Linked DNA regions of Oryzias latipes. Each later gene encodes a partner of the first gene's protein in a complex. Links are inferred from orthologs where the notes say so. Each region holds a gene or a part of one and is shown on either strand. Other genes may lie near its edges. The genes, in order: ptar1 and ykt6.

The links.
Region 2: the proteins of ptar1 (region 1) and ykt6 are in contact, whole or in part, in a crystal structure (PDB 6J7F), measured with the Homo sapiens proteins. The link is inferred for Oryzias latipes from reciprocal best matches to the Homo sapiens genes PTAR1 and YKT6. Residues at the interface, in NP_001093136.1 of Homo sapiens: Glu31, Gly33, Leu34, Ile35, Pro36, Val48, Val50, Glu51, Lys53, Leu54, Gly55, Ser58, Lys135, Tyr191, His225, Ser228, Met229, His230, Val231, Ser232, Asp233, Phe298, Asp301, Leu302, Ser305, Tyr306, His309; in NP_006546.1 of Homo sapiens: Met1, Ser29, Phe30, Phe31, Asn83, Glu84, Pro86, Gln131, Asn132, Pro133, Arg134, Gln180, Phe184, Arg189, Ser193.

Annotation. Positions count from the first base shown.
Region 1 is NC_019867.2:30,527,582-30,530,846, forward strand, and holds the end of ptar1 (protein prenyltransferase alpha subunit repeat-containing protein 1), read left to right. Parts: intron 1-227; coding exon 228-444; intron 445-1,272; coding exon 1,273-1,541; intron 1,542-1,622; coding exon 1,623-1,947; 3' UTR 1,948-2,536; downstream 2,537-3,265.
Region 2 is NC_019867.2:5,871,769-5,876,206, reverse strand, and holds the start of ykt6 (synaptobrevin homolog YKT6), read right to left. Parts: upstream 2,905-4,438; 5' UTR 2,785-2,904; exon of another isoform or gene 2,668-2,784; intron 2,399-2,667; 5' UTR 2,379-2,398; coding exon 2,275-2,378; intron 2,159-2,274; coding exon 2,076-2,158; intron 1,221-2,075; coding exon 1,120-1,220; intron 1,036-1,119; coding exon 931-1,035; intron 781-930; coding exon 715-780; intron 1-714. UniProt on the Homo sapiens protein: Vesicular soluble NSF attachment protein receptor (v-SNARE) mediating vesicle docking and fusion to a specific acceptor cellular compartment. Functions in endoplasmic reticulum to Golgi transport; as part of a SNARE complex composed of GOSR1, GOSR2 and STX5.

The DNA.
Region 1 (3,265 bases):
TTTATTAAAAGCTGCTGAATTTGCAGTTATTTTCTCTTCTTTAACATTTTAAACTCGTAAAGAAGATTAAATATTGAAGAGAAATAACTCAATGTGGTCACAGCGGTTTTAAACGACCCTTTAAGGAATAAACCTCGTTCATAGCGAGAGGAAACAGTTTACGTGAGGACGTAAACACACAGCTGTGGTGGAGCTGGCATGCCGACGGCGTGCTCTGATGTCTGCAGGCGCTGGGTTCTGCTGCACCTCCTGCAGAAGGCTCCGCCGGCGGACCAGAACCAGACGGACGCGGAGAGGAGCCGGCTCCTGGGCGAGCAGCTGGCCCAGACGCTCCAGCAGGAGATGAAGGTGTGCGCCGACGCCGCCTGCCGCTATCCCAGCAACTACAACGCCTGGTCGCACCGCATCTGGGTGCTGCAGCGGCTGGCCAAGGGCAACGTCAAGGTGGGTCCGTCGAGTCCAGTGCCGGGTTCTGTCTGTCTGACTCGGTGAAGAACTCGGTCAGAAGTGTGGAGCTCAATGCTGTTATTCCCTCTTCAAGGAGGAAGGATGTAACATAAAGAAAAAAGAAATAACTGGGCGGGGTTAAAGTCGGCCACACATAAAAATCAAAGGAAACTAACCAACAAAACACCAAAGGTGGAATAAATGATGGTAGAACTTAAACTGTCAGGCTTTATAGCAAAACACAAAACTACTCAAAATGCAACAAGAGTAAATTTAACAAAAGGAAAAAAGCAGAATCAAGGTACGAGGGAAACCAGAGGCTTTCTCAAGCTGACGCCAGGCAGAAGAAACAATCCTCTCAGGAATACAGCTGGAGCAGAGGATCCTGGGAGTTTTTAAAGCTTCCCTCCCAGCCAGGCGATTGAAAGCAGGCTCAATCAGCTCTGCAGGGGGGGCGGAGTCAGCAGCTGTGCAGGAGCTGTGAGAAACACTCACACACAACATGCAGACACGAGCAGGGGTCGTAGCAACGCTGTCTAAAAGAGGATTGGTGACCCCAAAAGCCAGAGTGACCCACCTGGTAAAGTCCTGAACCTCCTGATGAGCTGCTCTGGTCCTGAAATCCACAGATTGGATTCTGGAGTTCTTTAGATGTGTGATATTAAAGTTACTGCTCTGTAACCCTTGTGCTATCGTGTGGGGTCCAGATGACCCCACCTCCCAACGTTAACGTTGCCCACACTTTTGATCCAGCTGTGGGGGGTCAGTGGGTACGCAGTGGTTCTTCCGGTGGGTTTCCCACGTTCTCCCTCCCCGTTCCTGCAGGTCTTCCTGGACGAGTTGTCGTCCATGCGGCCTTGGGTGTCGGCGCACGTGTCCGACCACAGCGGCTTCCACTACCGCCAGTTCCTGCTGCAGGAGCTGACCGGCGCTCTGGCTCCGCCCGCTGGCTGCAGCTCCAACGGCGAGCGATCCGCAGTCGAAGAGCCGCCGCACGACCTCCCCGCGGTCCAGCAGCTCTTCTGCCACGAGTTGGAGCTGGTCTCAGATCTGATCCGGTCCTTTCCCGGACATGAGACCCTCTGGAGCCACAGGTCAGTTCCTCTCAGCAGGAAGTCTTCTTCAGCTCTGCTGGGGCTCCTCTTCCTCAGATCATGTTGTTTCCCCCCCCCCAGGAGGCACGTCTTCTTCCTGTGGCACCGCTGGAAGGAGCAGCACCCGGGCGACGGCGGTGATGAAGGCGGGGATCCAGCAGAGGGCGCTCAAACCCGGCTCAGCCAGACCTCCGCTGGAGTTCCCATGGAGGTGGAGCGGGGGTGTTCCTCAGATCCACAGGACATCAAACGGCTGAGGAGGGGTGTCCCACTCCCACAGCCCCCCACCTCACAGACTGAGCACGTGTTCGTCAGCGGCCTTCTGGACGGCTGCGGCCCCGAGCAGAGGAGCTTCGCCCTGGCCTACAGGAAGTGGTTGGACACGGTGGTGGGCGTGCCGTCCTGACACCGCCAACTCTAAGCCCCGCCTCCTCGTAGCACTGAGGCTGCCTTTAGGTCAAGGACCAGCACACCTGCCTGCAGAGCCCCTTCACTCTGACGGAACCATCCAGAACCTTCTGGACGGTTCTGACCCAGCAGCTCCTCCGAAGCCCAGCTGGTGTGGTGGTGGGGGGGGCTGCCTCCCGTTCCAGTGTTTTTAGCTCAAGCCTCAGCCGTCTGACTCCTTCTCAGGGGGGGGGGTGTTTCTCCACACCTACTCATGCCGGCGTGCAGAACAGAAACAGGAGGGGGAGCGGTAGGACCCAGCAGAACCCGGAGTTCTGCCGGTCCAGAACACTACAGTTCTTAGGAAAGGCCCTCTGCAGTGTGACTGACGGACTCCGTTCACACGTTCAGGGGGCTGCATTTCTTTCCTGGGGGGGTCTTTACTATGTAGCGGTTGGTGACCTTCACACTGACCTCCTCAGACCCAGAGCTACATGTGCATGCCTCGCCCCCCCCAGGCCCATGGCAGCGACACTTTAAGGTACTTGAATGGTTTTGGGTAGACCAGAAACGCGCTTTGCAATAAAAGCCGCTTCTTTTGCCTCTGACATCACTTCCTGTCGTTTTTACCCGTCATTCTCTGCATGACTCCATGATCCGTCAGCAGGCTGGTCTCCAATGACGGCGGACCGCTTCAGGTTTGGAAGCTTAGACCGGTTCTGCTCACATCAGCTCCACCTGCACCCGCCCAACGGAGCTCAGACAAATATGTAAACTTGATCAACTGAATCACTGATGAGAGCAAATCCACATAACAGTGAGATCAATTCATCCAAATCCTCCGCTTGTGCTCCTGTTAAACATCAGGAAGTCCTAATCAAAAAGATCCTGAAGGATCCACGAGGAAGAAAGCCACACTCAGGCAGACATCTTTAACATGACGTCAAAGCAGAGCGCCACCTGCTGATGCCGCCACCTGTTTCCTTCTAAATAAACTGATCCCAAAGTGATTACGGTACATCGCTAGAGGAGACACGCCCACTTGGGAAGCCTGGCCAACGGTGGCGGAGCGTAACGCCATCTTGGTGAGGTCGTCAATCCCACATGACAATGCTTTCTATAGCCTTTGGTGGCATCTAAGTAGCTTTTATATAATTTACATTTATATATATATACATAGAAATATATTTTATATATATATATAAGCACATATGTTGTTAAAAAGGAGAAACAGTCAGCCTTAAAAGCTTAAACTTTAATGAAACTTACATAGTTGCAGGACTTCTTACAAATAAAATAAATGACAAAGAATTTTTAAAAATAATTTCTGAACATTT
Region 2 (4,438 bases), about 25 Mb from region 1:
CAGAGCCCCGGGTTCTGCTGACCGTTAAACGTCCACAGATGGCATCTTTTTGAGCCTCTTGTTCAAAAATGGCAAAGACACTGTTTATTTCCACCTCTTAGTTTAAAGTCAAATTGCTTTAGTGTTTCTACAGTTTTATTTCACAGCGACAGAAAACACCAAATCTTCAAGGAAAAGTAGGGAAAAATAAAATATTAAAAAGAAAGAGTACTTTATAGTTCATAAAAGATATTTCTGCTCAAATAAAATAACCGTATAAAAGTGAATTCTAAATATGAAAAGGTATTTTTTTTTCTCACATGGATTGTCCATCTATGCTAGAAGAATTTAAAGTAAGCATTGAAGCTTATTGACTGTGTTAAGAGAGTTTGACATGTTTTCATCAAGGTTGACATTTCTGGGTCATTTCACTTTGTTAGAAACCTTCCTAAACAAAGAAAGACTATTCAACCGTATTCCTGCAGGTTCACTGCCCCTGAAGTCAGCTTCGGCATTAGCTACGACCAAGGCTGGAGCTAATAGCTCAAACGGATATAGATCGGCGCCATCATGGTCGTCAATCAATTTTAATGCCTGTGAACAAGTTCACTTTGTCACAAATGGACAGAAATACACAATACGCACACGTTGTGCAACACCAGTTCGCTTTTTTTAAACTGTAGATTTAGTACAAGAATTCAGAACTTAGTGAAAACTGAAGACAGGGAAGTTTACCAGAATGATCTTTGTCTCATCCAGCTCTGCTTGTACTTTAGTCATCGCATCTGCTTCTCTTGGGTTCTGAGGAAAAAAGAACAAACAGCTCAGTAACATGTTTCGAAAAATAAGTTTGGCAAAATTCTCTAATAGTAAACTCTACAACTTAATAAACTATTCCTTTTCTCCAGTTCAGATATGTGAATAGACATTCAATGGTATAGCAAAGCAGACCTGATATTTAGCCAGGTGAATATCCAAGGCTTTGTAGTTTATTTTTTCAGGACTACCAGTTGGCCAGTCTATACTGTCCACCTGCCTGGAGAACTCATCTAACACCTAGAAAGAACAAAAAAAGAAATCAAGAGGATTTGAGTTTTAAAATCTTTAGTCAATTGCTTGAAAAATGTATGTTGTACTTACCTTGTCAAGCAATGTGAAACAGACCCTCTGTGGGTATTCTGTATCTGCGATGACCACAGCACCCAGGCTGTCATTTCTCACATAGACGTGGCACAAATACTCTAAAAAAATAAAACAAAAACAATTAAAATAAAAATCGCCAAAACAATGAAAACTCTTTTCTAACAGGGAAAGGCTCAAAGTGGGCCAAACATTCAGCTTAAAGAGGTACGTGTAAATCCGTAGATCATGCGTTTCCATTTTTAAAATCTTATGTAGCTTTCTGATAAAACTGTCGACAGAACAAGTTCTTCGCAAAACTTCCACACATTGGACTGTAATGATGGATTGATCCATTTTTGCTGCCATCACTTGTGCGTCATCTGCTGAGATGGCACTTGGTGGTTTTTCGTTGTAGTAAAATCTAAATGGTATTTTCTAATATTGATATTTATTATATTTTGGAACAATTTTAGAATAGTGTGTAGGTCAATTCAATTAACAACTTGCCTCAGACAGGTCTGGTTGGATCATAGGAACAAAAATTGATAATACGATCAATTGTTCCACCCCTGTTAATATACAAACCCCACAAGATATAAAACATCAAAAGAAGAAAACAGTGGATTAGGAAGACAGAACTAACATCTGTGATTTTTATTTAGTATCAAAGTCTCCTTTTAAGTTTACATTTAGCTGTCAAACATCATTTTGTTAGGTATTATTAGAAAATAGTCCTAGCTACATTATAGCTACATAAAAAAGACTAATGAATTTGTGGGAATATAAAAAGCACTTTGGAGACAATGAACTCCTTCAGGTCGACAATACATTCTTCTCTGTTTGTATTCCTTTTTTCCCTTCTTATAATACTACAATTTATAGTTTAAAAAATGACAGTTTTTCCTAGGCACTGTGATAACAATAAGGCATTTGCTATGATTAATGTATAATAATGAAAAACAGCTCAGTGTTACCTTGTTCTTTGACAGAGGCACGGGTCCCTTGTGACGTTCGCTCAACAATTAAGGCACTGGTAAAGGTCATGAACTCCTGCACACTAATGATGACAACAAAGCAAAGCTTAAGTTCATGGAGGCCTCTAGTTCAAACGCGGTCTGTGCGTTACTTCCGGTACAGTCAAAATAAACTTTAGTTACGGTCAGTGGAACTCACCTGGAACGCTGGAAGAAGCTGAAGGAGGACAGATCAAAGGCCGCTTTCAACAGATTTGATTTGGTCGCTCCTTTGTAGAGGACACTCAGGCTATAGAGTTTCATTTTTATCCCTCGGATCAAATCTGATTAAAAGGACAAGAAGTAAGCATTATCCAAATATCCAACACAACTTGGATGGCCAAGAGAGGGGGCCAACTTCCTTCAAGAGTGAAAATACTGTCTGCCACTAACAATTACCAGCTAGTTAAAAAAACAATCATGTGGATGTTACATGAAATCAATCAGACAGATATTCGTACATCAATTTTACTTTCGATTACATTCCTGAAACCCGGCAGAAGAAGTTAGCCAAACATGCTAACTAGTTTGGTTGAGGCCCGAGACAACTTACCAGGCAAATCAGCAGTGAGCGATAAATTTCCGGTCAAAAAAGCAAATAGAATCACTTGTTTCAAATTAATTAAAGCTTGATGGTGAGTTGCGAACGGCTCAGATAACCGAACCACACCTTAATTAGCGTCAACTGTCCAAGATGTACTTTAGTAATCAGCCACCACGTCACTGCCCCAACGCGGTCCTACGGTGTAGTAGCTCGGAAGAAACACGAACCGCTGTATTCATCGTTCCGCTCTCATGCGAGGAACATTGTAGAGGTGTCTTTTTAAGGTACCGGTGAACTGTTAAAAATGTATTTAAAAATCTCTCACTCATCAGAGTCACCAGTACATTTGATAAATAAACAATAGCTATTTCATAATTACATTAATAAAGAAAGTAGTAATACTAGACGTCAGGCAGCATGCAAGGTAACATGGATATTCAGCTCAACATTCCTCTTTTTCATGTTTTTGTACTTCACATGTATAACCCCCCCCCCATCATATACTCAATAATAAAATGGATTCACTGTAAATAAAGTTAAAACATTTTTTTAGAATAACTGGTTAGTTTACCTCTAGATGTCAAAGGGTCTCATGTTTTAGTAGGTAAATGGCATAAACTTATATAGCGCTTTTCTACCATCTTCGAAGGCCTAAGGCGCTTTACAGTCACAGTCCCATTCACACACAGTTTCACACACTGGTGGCAACTCTGCTGCTGAACACTGGCGCCAACCTTCCACCAGAGGCAAGGTGGGGTTCAGTGTCTTGCCCAAGGACACTTCGACACATGGGTGGGCAAGGTGGGAATTGAACCCGTAATATTCCTATCAGAGGTCGACCGCCCTATCACTGCACCACGACTGCCCCATATTTAGTACATATCAGTGATGCTTAGTTAAATAAATTACAAAAAATGTTTAAAAATGTGTCCTATGTGTTTTATTATTGATGGTTGTTATATAAATGGTGTTGGGTAGCAACGTTTACTTACAATGACTAGTATTTTATTTTAAAAATTACAAAACCTTTACCAACTGTACTCCCTGCTCTGTACTTTTAACAAACGTCAAATACAGTTTTTAATTGGGTCACCCTTCCCGCATCGAGTTATTAGACGATTTTTTCATGAACCCATACAGACTTATGTCTGAAGGTTCTTTTTTTGGAGGTGGGAGGTGAAAATGTCGATTAGTCCACTAAAGACTTGGCACCCTCAATTGATGTTTTCTCTTGTAATTTTGCTCCATTTAACAATTTCCTCCTGTCCACTTAACTCGGTGTAAGTAAGTGTTTTTCGTGTGAGAGGCACGCCTGTTACAGGTTTCCAAAGCAACCCAAAATGATAAAGGCGCATCTGTTGGACCAGTCGCACCAAGGGAGGAAATGATTTGTCCTTCGTGGAATTGCTTTTGGTTTTGTTGAGATACAGCAACGTTTTCACCGAGACGCTGGATGCTTTTTTTTTTGTCATTTAACCTTTTTTTGTTGTTAACAGCCAAAGCGAGGATTTATCTGAAAACTTTCTAACTTGACTTTTTTATTTATTAATTTTGGGTTTTTTGTTACTCCTCCAACTTTCCAAAATAATTATTTTTTAAAATATATATTTTTAATTAGTGTTTGGACAAGTCCCACACATTTTTGTAATGGAACTTGAGCAACAATGAAGGCGCGTCCATGTGGTTTTATGCACCAAACAAACGAGTAGGAATGAAGAGAAATCTGTGAGACTTTTCTTTCAGGTTTATGACTTCAGTTTGAAAAAAGAAAAAAATGCAG